2 linked regions of the Drosophila melanogaster genome follow. Changing the gene in region 1 together with any one later gene gives a genetic interaction. Each region holds a gene or a part of one and is shown on either strand. Other genes may lie near its edges. The genes, in order: disp and TkR99D.

Region 1 (8,036 bases):
TAATACCGTCATCGTACAGTCCTACCGACAAAGACCCAGTACCCAGAGTACCCAGTACCTCCCGCTAATTGCTTCAGTTTACAAATCGTTTTCACTTGGCTGGAGCATCGAATGTGAAATGTCACAAGATAAAAAAAAAGCATAAAAGCATATTGCAATAGCCTGGAGTCTTTTGAAAATAGCTTTGCCTAATCCTACCAAGTACAATTACACATATATCTAGAGTATATCAATGTAGAACTCGCACAACACGTACATATGCCACCGCCAGCATATTTTAAAACTAAATATGCCGACACACGGCGTGTATATGTATATATAAATGTATCTCGGGCAGGCTTGAGAGCCGCCGTACCCTGTATAAAAATGCAGTTGCCTGATTCTTCTTGGCAACAACAACGCGTTGTCCGGCAATAGTAACTAACTCAATTGGATGTAGACGGATACGTTTGATATTTGCACTCGTGCATCGTCTGGAATGAGTGCTCGAAGTCCCTCGGCAGCGAGGACAATGCGTGGGCGCTTTCGATGCCCGAAATGGTTTTGATCAGGCTGTTGGAGTTTAGGGACTCCAGTTCGTGCGTCTCCGAGTTCGCCAACTCAACGATGGCCGAGCTTGTGGGGGTCAGCAGCTGCTCGCTGGCGATCACTTGGCTGGGTTTCCTGCACAAAGAAATTCGAGTTTTAATAACCGATAACGGGTAGTCACCCGTCAGTCAGGCTTGATAAAAATGACATTAACGCAAAACAGAGAGATATAGAAAATTGAAAGGGTCAATACGATAAAAGCCTTACCGCTCGTAGAACTTGCTGCTGCCACTGCTTCGCTTGCTCCACAACGGCCACTTGAGTTCCAGAAAACCATGCTGAGGACCGGCAACCCGAAGCAGACTCATTAGAAAGAAAGTGGCATAGAACCAGCTAACGATCATGACAACGACCAGGAAGACGCCAATCTGTATGTAGGGCAATATGTTGGATGCCATCATGATTCCGCCAGCTAGACCAGTTGTGGTGGCCGCCATCACTGTGGGTCCAATGATGCGGGATAGTACAAACTGTGTGGCTGCCAATCTCTCCTTAACCGGGGACATCCGGTAGTGAATACCGTAATGTAGGCTAAAGTCCACAGCCAGACCGATAGCCGTGCTCACCGCAATGCTCTCCAAGATGTTAAGCTGCCAGCCGAGCAGGATGAGCACAGCCACGGTGTTAAAAATACTTAGCGACACGGTTAGTACGGCGTAGATGGAAATCAATATGTTTACGGTGAAGCATAGGAGCACTGCAAGTGATGCAGCCATGGCCAGACAAATGGCAACAAAGGTGTCGTGCGAAAGGGTGTCCTGCACATTGTAAAATTTCAGGTCGCTCGTGAACCATCCTCCTTGAAGTTCCGGCGGTGCCGTTTTTAACTGCATCTGAAACCAGTGCTCTACAGACTCGTAGAACTGCCTAATATTTGCGTAGATGGTGCTGTAGGCCACGTTGGACTCGAACTCGATGACCAGGGCTTTGACTAGTAGCGGTGTAAATGATCCGTTGGTGCTGTACTCTGCACTCTCATTTCCACTCATTCCTAGGTAATCCTCAGTCTCCAGTCGGGGAGCCTCTGCAAACTTGGGTCCTGCCACGCCGGGCCGGAAAAATGTAGTGTCATACATGTTGGATATGCTTTGTGGCAAGCAGTACTCAAATATGTGCGGCTCAAAGGGAAACTGTGCGTCACAGCAGGGTGAACGGTCTTTCCTGGTACTGTCCATATCATCGATGCATCTGAACAACATGAACAAAAGCTTCTATTAATGATTGCAAATTGTATTGGTGTCTCTATATCTCCTGTCTTAATCCATCTAAACCAGTTCCAGCTTTCAAATGTAAACAAAATCGATTTTTCTGAACCCAGTTTTAATGAGCTTTCTAAGCCATTGTAAGTATGTATATAATTGTATATGCTCACCTGCGCTTCATATAGTCGATAAGATTTTCAATGAAACAATTGGGCAACAGCATGCCGAGAGTCTCTTTGTAAAAGGGTTGCTGGCGCACACTCTGGCAAAAATCAAGGATCCAGAGTTGTGCCGGCCTGCTGGATACGTTAAAATTATTGTCATAGTGCAGGTGGCCGTATGAGTTGGGGTTCGTATAGTCGCCGTCGTCCACCGCTTGAACGCCCCAGACGAAATGCATGTGCATCTTGAAGTTCTCGTACGCCTGCAATGGTTTCTCGAACCAGAACTGCTGCTTGAGACTGGAGTAAACCTCAAATGGATGCTTTGACACAAAGAGCTGGAAGTGTGATTTTTCCGGCAACTGAAGTCCTGGATACCAGAACACAATGACGGCACTGGACGCGCCTAGAGCCCCAAAGATCAGCAGCCAGAGATAGGCATAGTTCATGATGCTTTTCGTGATGCACTCCTCAAACATCTGACAAAATCGGTTAATTGACTTCTTGCAGGCGTGGATCAGCTTTATTGACATCGGATGATGGCAGGACATCCTTGTGGCAAATAGTCGTTCCATGATGGAGACCGATGCAGGCAACCAAGTTATCATTAGTAAGTAGTTGGTCACCACGACAGTTCCCGCAAAAATCCTAAAAATATAATTTATTAAATGAGCATTACTAAATATTAAGATTCATCTAATCTTGCTTTTATTAACTTACCCAAAGCACTTTATAGCTGTTATAGAGCTGCTGTAGGAGGCATAAAAGGCGCCGGCGGTGGTAAGTGAGGTAACGAACATGGAGGCAGCGGCATGTCGCATAGTCAGCGCCATTATGTTTTCCAGTGACTCCGTGTGATCACTGTTCTCCAGGGTGGGAAGAGCACTCTGGGACTGAGTGGTCAAGGTACATCGATTGCTGAACCTCTCGGTCAGCACACAGTGCCAGATCTTAAGAAACAGAAATACGTCGTCTGCTCCAATGCCAATTATTACTACCACGGCCAGAAGGTTCATATAGGGGAAGAACTCAAACTCCAGCACGATGGCGTAAAAAAAGTACGCTAGTCCTAGCGAAAAGCATATGGCTACGCAGGACATCAAGGTGATGAATGCCGATCCCGTGTACAACCACACGCTAGCCATGACGAATGTCCCTCCCAGCGAAACTAGCCACACGTCCGTCAGCAGCAGCTCGTTAAAGAGTTCGTTTTCGAGGCCCAAGTCCATCGCAACCACTTCCACAAGCTCGTTGATCAGCTCCCTGAAAAATCATTCAGAATATTATTATCAAACAGAAAACATCAAAAATATTTTTAAATAAAAGAAAAATACAAAAAAAATTGCAAAATGGATCCAGTTCAACGGGAAAAGGAATTAATTAAAATGGAATTGCCAAGGACGAGGGTGCTTGTAACCACCAGCAGAGCGGATTATGTGGATCATACTGAAAGAGCCGTTTACAATCCCCCGATTAAGAAAACCCAAGAGGATCCCTCTCTAATAAGTGGTCACTACTGCGCAAATCTAAAGGTTGGTGGCATTGAATATAAAACAAAGACATGGCCCCAATCAATGGACTGGCGGGAGGACTACGCACAGTTCATCAAGCGCAACAAGTGGTGTAACGAAAGGATCTACAAGCTATTTTTTATGTATCCGCCTGTGGATTTCCGAATTCTGAAGGACTTTGTGAAGGACCTTCGTAGATCGGTGTACATGAACGATTACTCTCGGAATGACTTCGTTTCTTTTGTAAGTCGACGGCGCTATAGGAACAAAAAAGGTTACTCTCTCAAGGACGAGGACTATCGGACCACATATGGGTGCTATTACAATTTCCTGCAGGAAACGGAGCCGTTTAGGAGCTCCTTCTATCCAGAACGTAGGCTAAAGGACACTACTCTGGACAAAATCGCCAGCGATTTACGAAAAATTTTCACAAAGTACAACTTGACCACCTATTTTGATACCATATGCGTTCCGGCCTTGATGAAAGCTAAAAATAATGTAATGCCCTCCACACCCATCGACCGGTATCAATTTCGCAAATATTAGCTGTGCTCCATACTTACACGTCTTCCCATTCGTGGAACAGTGGCAGCAAGCGGTTGGATTGCGCCACGGGTATAAAAATCATGGCGTATTTCAGGTATACATTCGAGTCCTACAAAAAAAAAAAGTGCCAATATTATATGGTCGAATTTAATGCAATACGAGTAAAGCAACGGACAAATACAAATCTGTTTTAATAAAAGAGTTTTGGGGTCTAAGCTTATTTTAAACTCAATAACTTACATTAGACTTGATGAAACTAAAGTCGGTGAGAAAATTCAGGACGTTAAAGACGATATTTAGCCGCTTGCACTCTTCAGGAGCACGACAATGCGGTATTTCGTTGCAGTGGTTGTCCATCTTTAGGTCATGGAAGTACTCATAGCAGCCCAAGAGCAGCGTGTGCAGCGAAGTAACATCCTCCGTGGTAAGGTCGAAACAGGAACTTTTGTTGGCCAGCATGGCGGCGTAGTTGGGCAGTGACCATGGCCGGCAGCACTCGGTGGTAAGCATCTCCGGCTCGCAAAATGCCCGGTAGCTGGGGACTTCGGTAATCTGATCCTGCAACTGACACATGGCCAGCAGTCCGTTCAAATCAAATAGAGAATCGGTGGCGTTGGGACCGATCCGCTGGACCACAAAATGAGAGTACTCCTTCCGGGGCGATGAATCGCAAAAGAATCCCTCGATGGGTTGGCGACGATGCATGTCTGCCCAACCGTCGGTGGGCAAGGTGGCGGCTTGCTTTAGGAGCCGCCAAGTGCTCTTCTTGGTCTGCACCCGCTGCTGATGCTCTTCCTCGTCCACTGAGGTGGTGTTGTGGCCATATTCGATTTGCTCAGTGCGTCGCGTGGGTTCCAAAGAGGAGGAAGCGCTGTCGTTTGTAATCTCGTAGTCGCGAAATACTCCACTGTCCCCGATCCAGGTGTCAAAGCCGAGATTTGGAGAGGGAGAACTAGTAGCCTTCAGCCGTTTTTTGAACTGCATCATCTTCTGCGCCACATCGTGATGCTCGTGGCTGCTTTGATTTTGTTCCTTGCGTCGCTTGTTCTTGTTTCTGTTCTTGTGCTTGTTTTTGCGTCGCCTGTGATTCGGATGCAGCTTCGTCTCCACATAGCCCTGCTCTACCCGTCTCCTCTCCCACAGATCCGATGGATTTGAGAAAAGAGCACCATGGTGGTCAGTCTCTTGCAGCAGGTTGTACCAGGCCGTCAGTCGTTCTCCAATTTTGGTGCCGCGGGTTTCGAAGCCCTAAAGTGAAATAAATGTTGAATCATAAATATTAATCATGACAAATAATCACATTATAAAGTGATCAAATAAGTCATATTAGTGAGAAATTAATCTTATTATTTTCCACAATTTTTACAACAATAACATAATAACAATGAAAATATAATACAGGAATAGTTTGTATACAAGTAATCCTGTAGTTTCTTATAGCAATTCTGTGAATATTTAAAATATTTTAACTTCTTAATATTTAAAAAAAATAGATATATAACGAAATTTAAATAAAATAATATCATTTAGACATTTTCGGATTATTTCCATGTGCTCAATATTTTAAAAAATAATTGTAAAATAAGATAAGATATATTCTCCAAATATCAAGCAGTGAACATGTTTTGGACAAATCTAATAGGACAAACCAAGGTGGGATCACTGAAGTCCGGCAGCTTGTTCAGGACGAGGGCCACGATGATGCAAGCGACACAGTAGACAGCAATGGAGACGACCACCAGGTAGGGACGCCTGGCCAGGACGTGGTAGTACCAGTTCATCCTCTCCGAGTCGAAGCACAACATGTCAGTAGAATGTGATGCCCGAATCCTCTTTACCCTCTTCGCATTGCGGGAACATCAAATGCTCCTTGGGTTTCCGCTTCCCTTCAGTGCATCCTTGGCGGCTGGAAGTCTCGAATAACGTTGGGCTGGTGGGTGCTCCTTGGGACCAAGCCAAAGTCTATTGTTTTGCTTCTGTTATAGATACTGCCTGCTGGTCAGGCCTCCGCCGCAGAGATCGGCTTGTTGGATTGCATTTTTATGTAGGCGCGCGCCCGTGCAAATAACTCAGGGTTCGGAACTAACTTAAACAACAGAAAAACAACCGAAAACTATGCGAATAAGGATAACGCAGAAAACGGTGAAATAACAACAAAAAGCAGCACAAAGGATACACTGAGTTAATACAGTGTTGAGCAACTCAGTCACCAGTGATGATGGCCCTAAGCCAGACAAACAGCTGTTCTCCGAAGGAAGAGATTCGTGAAGGTAGTCACAATGAGCTTATGCAATATTCACTTCAACTTTTGTTACTAGCGTATGACTTTAAGCGTGTATTACGGTCATGACACTATTTAAGCTTGAAAATCTTTGGGTACAGCCGAAACTAAATACAATTTTTCGCCCTAGAATTTACCAAATTTGGCTAAATACGCTAGACTATCGGCACTATTAAAACATATGTTGCAGCAGCAGTGCTGCAAAACGCGAACTAGTTCCGCAGCTTGTGCAATGTTTTGTAATCGTATTTGCAAATTTATTCAATTAATTAATTATAAATAAAAAATGCTGCGCCGCGCACAATGCCTGCTCCGGCTGCACGGCAATGGAGGCCATTCGCTGGTCAGCCGCTTTCGAAACTACGCTACGGACGAGGGAAATCCGAAACAGAACCCGAATCCAAATCCCAGGGCACAAAAACCCGGCACCAAAAACCTGCCGGCTTTAAGGAACCCCTTTGCCGCCGCCCAGGACAGGACGAAAAACAGCTACCTGACCATGGTGGAGATATTCCAGGAGCGCGACGTCCACCGTCGGAACCATGTGGAGTTCATCTACGCGGCACTCAAGAATATGGCGGATTTCGGGGTGGAAAGAGACTTGGAGGTCTACAAGGCCCTGATCAACGTGATGCCCAAGGGCAAGTTCATACCCACCAACATGTTCCAGGCAGAGTTCATGCACTACCCCAAACAGCAGCAGTGTATCATTGATCTGCTTGAGCAGATGGAAGATTGCGGGGTGATGCCCGATCACGAGATGGAGGCGATGCTGCTTAATGTGTTTGGCAGGCAGGGACATCCACTGCGCAAGTATTGGCGCATGATGTACTGGATGCCAAAGTTTAAGAACCTATCACCGTGGCCACTGCCCGATCCTGTTCCGGATGATACATTGGAAATGGCCAAGCTGGCGCTAGAGCGGATGTGCACGGTCGACCTGCGGTCCAAAATCACGGTTTTCGAGACCAGCGAGCTGAAGGATGCCATTGACGATACGTGGATCGTGAGCGGAATGAGTCCCGAGCAGGAGAAACTGCTGCGGGAGCACTCTCGCCAGAAAGCTCTGTACATCGAGGGACCCTTTCACATATGGCTTAGGAATCGCCGGATCAACTACTTTACCCTGCGCGCTGATGCAGATTCTGAGTTCCTGTCTGAATTAGATGAGCGGCAGCTGGACGAGGACGATGTCTCCCACATCGAAGTACCCTTCTTTGGTCGTGCTCCACCAAGGCGACACAACCAGCTGGGAAAGCTGCGCTCTGTCCACCAACAGGACGACGGAACCATTATGGCCATCTGTGCCACAGGCACCTCCACAAAGGACTCATTGCTCTCGTGGATTCGCCTGTTGGAAGCGAACGGAAATCCCTCCATAGGAGAGGTGCCCGTCCTCTTCCGGTTCACATCCGAAGTGCCAGCCAAGGCGGAGGAAATTGAAGGTGGCGCCAGTGTCCCGGCAACAAGTGATAACAGTAGTCAAGATGAGCACATTAGCAGTAGACAGAAATAAACAAATTGTTGAGCACTTTTTCGTCTTTGTATACCATAGAATTGATGGTAAATGTTGCTTAAAGTTAGTCGGTTTTGATCATATGTACATATATATGTACATCTGCTAGAAGGAAAAAAATTAATACTTCGGTAATTATTTATACTCTTTGGCTCGGACGCGAATTGAAAGCAACATTGTATGCATTTTGGGGTGGATTTTAATGAAATAAGGTTAATTGAGAAGGATTAC
Region 2 (4,889 bases), about 24 Mb from region 1:
TAGTTAATGATGCCCAGCTGCTCGGGATATTGGCCATTGCAGGCGTACACTCGGACTCGCAGCTCGGTGCGAGCCACCAAGTTCAACTTGGTCCATCATAATCATTATGGATGTGTTCAATGGACTGCACGTCAGCGAGAGATAAAGAAATTTAATGACCTCCTGCTTTCACTGTGTATCCTCCTTCCACAAAATGTAAGACGAGAAAATAATCTAAATGAGACATCGCCTTCAAAGCGTTGGAAAATAGTTACCTAAGCTAGTTAAGTTGACTTGTTTCATCTTGGATCAGTCGAATATGTGTGCCAAACCATGGTGTAGGTCATCTCATTTTACATGCAACCCATTCGTTGCTCAGTTGTTACAACTAAATGGAGTGATTGATGGGACATTGATGCATGTGCAGCGGATGAAGTTGCGGGATTCCATCTCCGCCAGCAAATTAAGACGTCCGAATCTGGCGAAGAGGGGGAGGCATTTCGGATTCATTGCTTACTTTAGGCATTTTTGGCCAGATCAGCCACCAACACCTGCGGCTGTCTGGTGTGAAAGAGCCAAGTCATTTGGCCAAAACTAACAAACATACGCTCTGCACTGAAAACAATTTCTTTGTATGTATGGTAATTGTAAAATTGTAATTGTTTTATCAAAATGTAAATAGAGACATATTCTGTATGGAAAATAGGAGAATTTGCGGTTTTATACCCATAATTTGGCTAAAATCATAATTACAGTCAGTTTTATACATGTTTTTTGGAGCCTGTGACCTAAGCAATCGATCCAAATCACTTTTTAATTGATTTCGAAAAATTAATTTTTGGACCAATTTTCGCAAATTTGATAAGGGGTACCATCATTAAAATTTGCTAAAATTGGCCAAAAATTTATTTTTCAAAATCAACAAAACTTGAATGCCAATCGATTAGGCATGCAATTACGAGCTCAACGAGGTATTACATTCTATATTTTGATAAATTAATCCAAAATTTTTCGTAGCCTTTCCACTTGGGAAAGTGGAATTTTAATGGGAAATGGGAATTTTAGCCTTAGGACTTGGCTACCTTAGCAAAAATAGCAAATCACTTTGCACTGATAATCAAGATGTGTAATCTATTTCAATGATATACCCCTATTGAATTTGTAAACATGCATTCTAAACCTAAAACAAATTATTCGAGTGTATTGATAAACATCTTCCTTTGAATGTGGTATTAAACGCTTTGAAAGTGCTGTTTTGGAAGCGATATATTCATTGTGCATATGTGTGTATATTTTGTAAGACATCTTGGTCATTTGATTTTCCGCTTGTGCGTGGCGTGCACGTGGCAGAATCGCCGGAGTCCGGATTGTTTACGAATAGCCGTATGACAACAGAGAGCGAACGAAGGCAGAGCGAGAGGAAAAGATAGGGCGCAGGCGTAGAAAGAAAACACTCGGCAACACTGGTGAATTTGGGCGGGTTTCCGTTCGATTCCGTCGCAGATTTCAACGCTTTTCAAATGGAAACGTTGCTCATTGCTCCGATAAAATAAAAGGCCCTCAACGCAAAGGGGTTACGTGAGCCCTAGTCCCCAGTGCAACATCCCAACATATGCAACAAGCGGCCGGAGTCCCCGAGGTCCACGGGAACCCCCCCCGCCGCAGAAAAAAAAACCGCCCACTTTTTTGTGGCCCTTATTATAACACCGACATATCAGCGCGCACAGCCTCAGAAAATTCCGGCTGGCATTCAGTTTTCCGCTTTCCGTTCAGTTCAACGGCAGACTCGCGCGCGTACGGTTCGAACTGAAAAGGCGACGGGTCCGGATTTTTTGGACTTGTCGGTTCTCCGGGTTCTCGGTTCCTGAAATTCGCTGATGATAGGTGATAGCTGAAGCTGGCGGAGAAGTGTTGGAAAAATGCTGGAAAATCAGCTTAGAGCTGGCTGAAATGCCGCCGGCAGTCGATCCGTAAACGTAATTGAATTCGGCCCAGTGGATTGAAAATCAAATTCAATTTCGTAGCGAGCAAACACGCAAAAACGATAAACTAGTCGTTAAAGTGAATATACAAATTGGTGTTTTGATTAAAACTAATAAACATAAACACCGAAACCACAGAGCAGCAGAAGGCGAGCAGCGGAATTTATTTTTAAATACGATTTCTTTGTTATTCGCTGCCTGCAATTGGCTGACATTGCTCATACGCCGCGTTGGCCGAGCGAAGAAGTGGGGATTTCAGCATAGTTCCTGGTAAGCGGTCTCCCACTGCCCAAAGTATTTTGTTTTTTTTTTTTCATTCTCTTTCCACTCATTATTGTTTTTCCATATTACAAAAACATTGTTTTCGGGAGGTGGTGGCTTGAATTGCAAAGTTTATTGCACAAACCAAACCGAAATTGGTTTACAAGTTTATGGAAATTCGAGTCGCCAAAGTAATTAGAAAACTGCTATTTGTGGACAACTTTCGGCTGCCCTGGTAACTTTAGCTCGAAATGTAATTACATCGAGAGCCTAATCAAGTGACTAACCCAATTCGAAAGATCAAACTGTAGGCCATTCCCATTCATCCCGATTTTCCACTCAATTTGAGCAACGAGTTCCACGACTCCAGTGAGCTGAGAAATAGTTAACCGATGGCCAAAAACCATCACACCCAATTGACTTTGCCCGATGAAAAGGTTCTCCGATGATCTCAGATTTCGGAAATCTGGTCGGAAGAGCAAATCTCCTGGAATGACAATTAATTCGATTGCGATTTGCGTTTTTTAGGCCCACGGCGGAATGGAAATAATCTTTTTAAATAACGCACCAATTCCGTACATCCTGTGCCATAAAATAAAGTAAAATAAAATAAAACCGTGCGCATTGGCTTATCCCTTGGGTATTTTCACATGTGCCCAGCTCTGATGTTTATAATGCAAATAAGCAAAGTGTTTCAAATGTATTTATTTTGGGGTCGAAGGCGTTTCAGCGCTGGTTGTTTTTTTTTTTAAGCCATTTAATTTTAAGGGGAACGTAAATAGAAGCCTTAAATGCATGCAAACTTCCTGGCTGGATTTTATAGAGTTCATACACAGTTGATATTTAAGAAAAATGTAAACCAAAGGCAAACGAAAGTGTATCTCTTCGTTAGATGTTAAAACTTGATTAAGTGTTTGAGCAGTTAATTAATTGAATTTAATCAAGTACTTGTGGCCAAATGAACTCCACCCTGCAATCAATCGGAAATTTAAGTATAAATCATCAATCAAATCAAGGCATTCATTACCTCGAAGGTATTTCGCTTGTGAACTCCCGACATAATTGCCACTTTAATTGAAGAAAATTAATTCACTCGAAGTGTCCATTTCCAGCTTTCCTTCGAATTCGAAGTGAAGCGCTTTCAAGTGAATCCGCTGGCCAAACAGCACACTTAATTGCTCCTCCGAGATTCCAGACATCATCTAACTCAATCAGTGGCTGGCACAACTTTCTCCGCTTCTAAATATTTAATGTCAACTATGATTAGTGAGGAGGCAAAGTCCTGTGGTTTTAGGCATGTCGATGTGGGATGTGGGCTGTCGGATGTGGTCGGGGGTCTTTGGATCCGGATAAATGGCTGTTTGGCGGCCAAATGAACGCATCCGCACAAAAGCTTTGCCGACGGTCAGCTGAGCAAACCGAAATCCTTTCAGCGCGAATTGCTTGCGGAGGAGCAGGAGGGGATCCGAGGCCATTAGTTGGCCCCAAAAGGCGGCCTTTAAAGATTCAGGCAGGCGTGAACGGATGGGTATCTTTAAGCGAATACGAATGCGAATCAGTAATAAGTGAGTGGGGTGCCGTATGTTCCGTATGTCCAGTGCTGCTCCACAGTGCTGTCATGCATCAAAACATTTAATTAAATTGAAACCGATGCGGCATCCGCCCCACTGCTGACGTCTTTGCCCGGCCACACTGGACATTGGCCAGTGGACACTGGACTTTGGACATCGGAGCGAAGGAGGATGTGCTGCTGGAGGTGGAGGGCAGCATAGCAGGTCCTTTGGCGCCGGAGACGTGTGTAACTTCGGCTTTCTTCCCCAGCTTTCAGCATTCAGCATTCAGCTTTCAGCTGGACACCAGTTCACCATCTCCGCCCCGAATGAATTTAAATGAAGGCAGTGCCGGTCCTAAACAAGTCCGTGAATCATGTGCATATTTTAGCGGTGCTCAGTTGAGTTCGTCCCTCTTTTATGCAGCCCCATCGAGCTATGCAGTGTCCTTGTCGGTGGACAGGACGTGTATTCCACAGGGATAGCCTTTAAATAAATGGGTTAATTCGATGGCATTGTTCGCACACCCAGCACATGTGTCCACAAGACAATTGTCCAATTTATTGGCATTGAACAACTTTGTGTGTCTAATATAAAATGTTGCACATAACAATATGCAAATAACACTTGTGGCAGCATGTTATTTATGACTTTGTGAAGCTTAACTTTAATTTGGCATTTGGCCTTTGTCAAATATTTCATTTGATCGTAGATCCGAATAAAAATTCAATTTTTTCCCAAATGAAGTCGAGCGAATTGGTTAATATTTCCGGAGACGAAAAAAATCTATCAATTTTGAATAAGTGAAAGTTAAAAGCTCCAGCTGAGAAGTCATTCAATGGGCAAAAGCAATACAATTCAAAACTGAAATGTACTCAGTTGCCCCTCGGCCTCGCCACTGCTCCCCATCTTTCCACGCCGAGCAGATCTGCCAAAGAATATACACCGACTGGCAGATGATTGAAATGGGAGTGAGAGCCACAGCGCTGGGAATCGAATGGGGGGAATGGGGAATCGGAGGTAGCCTTTCTTCACTTCTGTCTCCGCTTTGTTCCTCAATTTACACATAATTGCAATAAATTGACTAAGTGGGTGCTGGGGCACTGAATTTATTGTA

Evidence for each region.
Region 2: of disp (region 1) and TkR99D, changing one suppresses a phenotype caused by changing the other (phenotypic suppression), as found in Drosophila melanogaster (one study listed by BioGRID).

Annotation. Positions count from the first base shown.
Region 1 is NT_033777.3:5,850,096-5,858,131, forward strand, and holds the start of disp (dispatched), read right to left. Parts: upstream 6,217-8,036; 5' UTR 5,814-6,216; coding exon 5,658-5,813; intron 5,257-5,657; coding exon 4,249-5,256; intron 4,188-4,248; exon of another isoform or gene 4,118-4,187; coding exon 4,026-4,117; exon of another isoform or gene 4,009-4,025; coding exon of another isoform or gene 3,301-4,008; exon of another isoform or gene 3,237-3,300; intron 3,215-3,236; coding exon 2,672-3,214; intron 2,600-2,671; coding exon 1,961-2,599; intron 1,777-1,960; coding exon 796-1,776; intron 664-795; coding exon 426-663; 3' UTR 1-425. Other genes in the region: CG34287 (uncharacterized protein), read left to right, coding at 3,301-4,008; ECSIT, read left to right, coding at 6,576-7,805. UniProt on the Drosophila melanogaster protein: Segment polarity protein which functions in hedgehog (Hh) signaling.
Region 2 is NT_033777.3:29,966,325-29,971,213, reverse strand, and holds the start of TkR99D (Tachykinin-like receptor at 99D), read left to right. Parts: upstream 1-1,766; 5' UTR 1,767-2,231; intron 2,232-4,889. UniProt on the Drosophila melanogaster protein: Receptor for tachykinin-like peptides.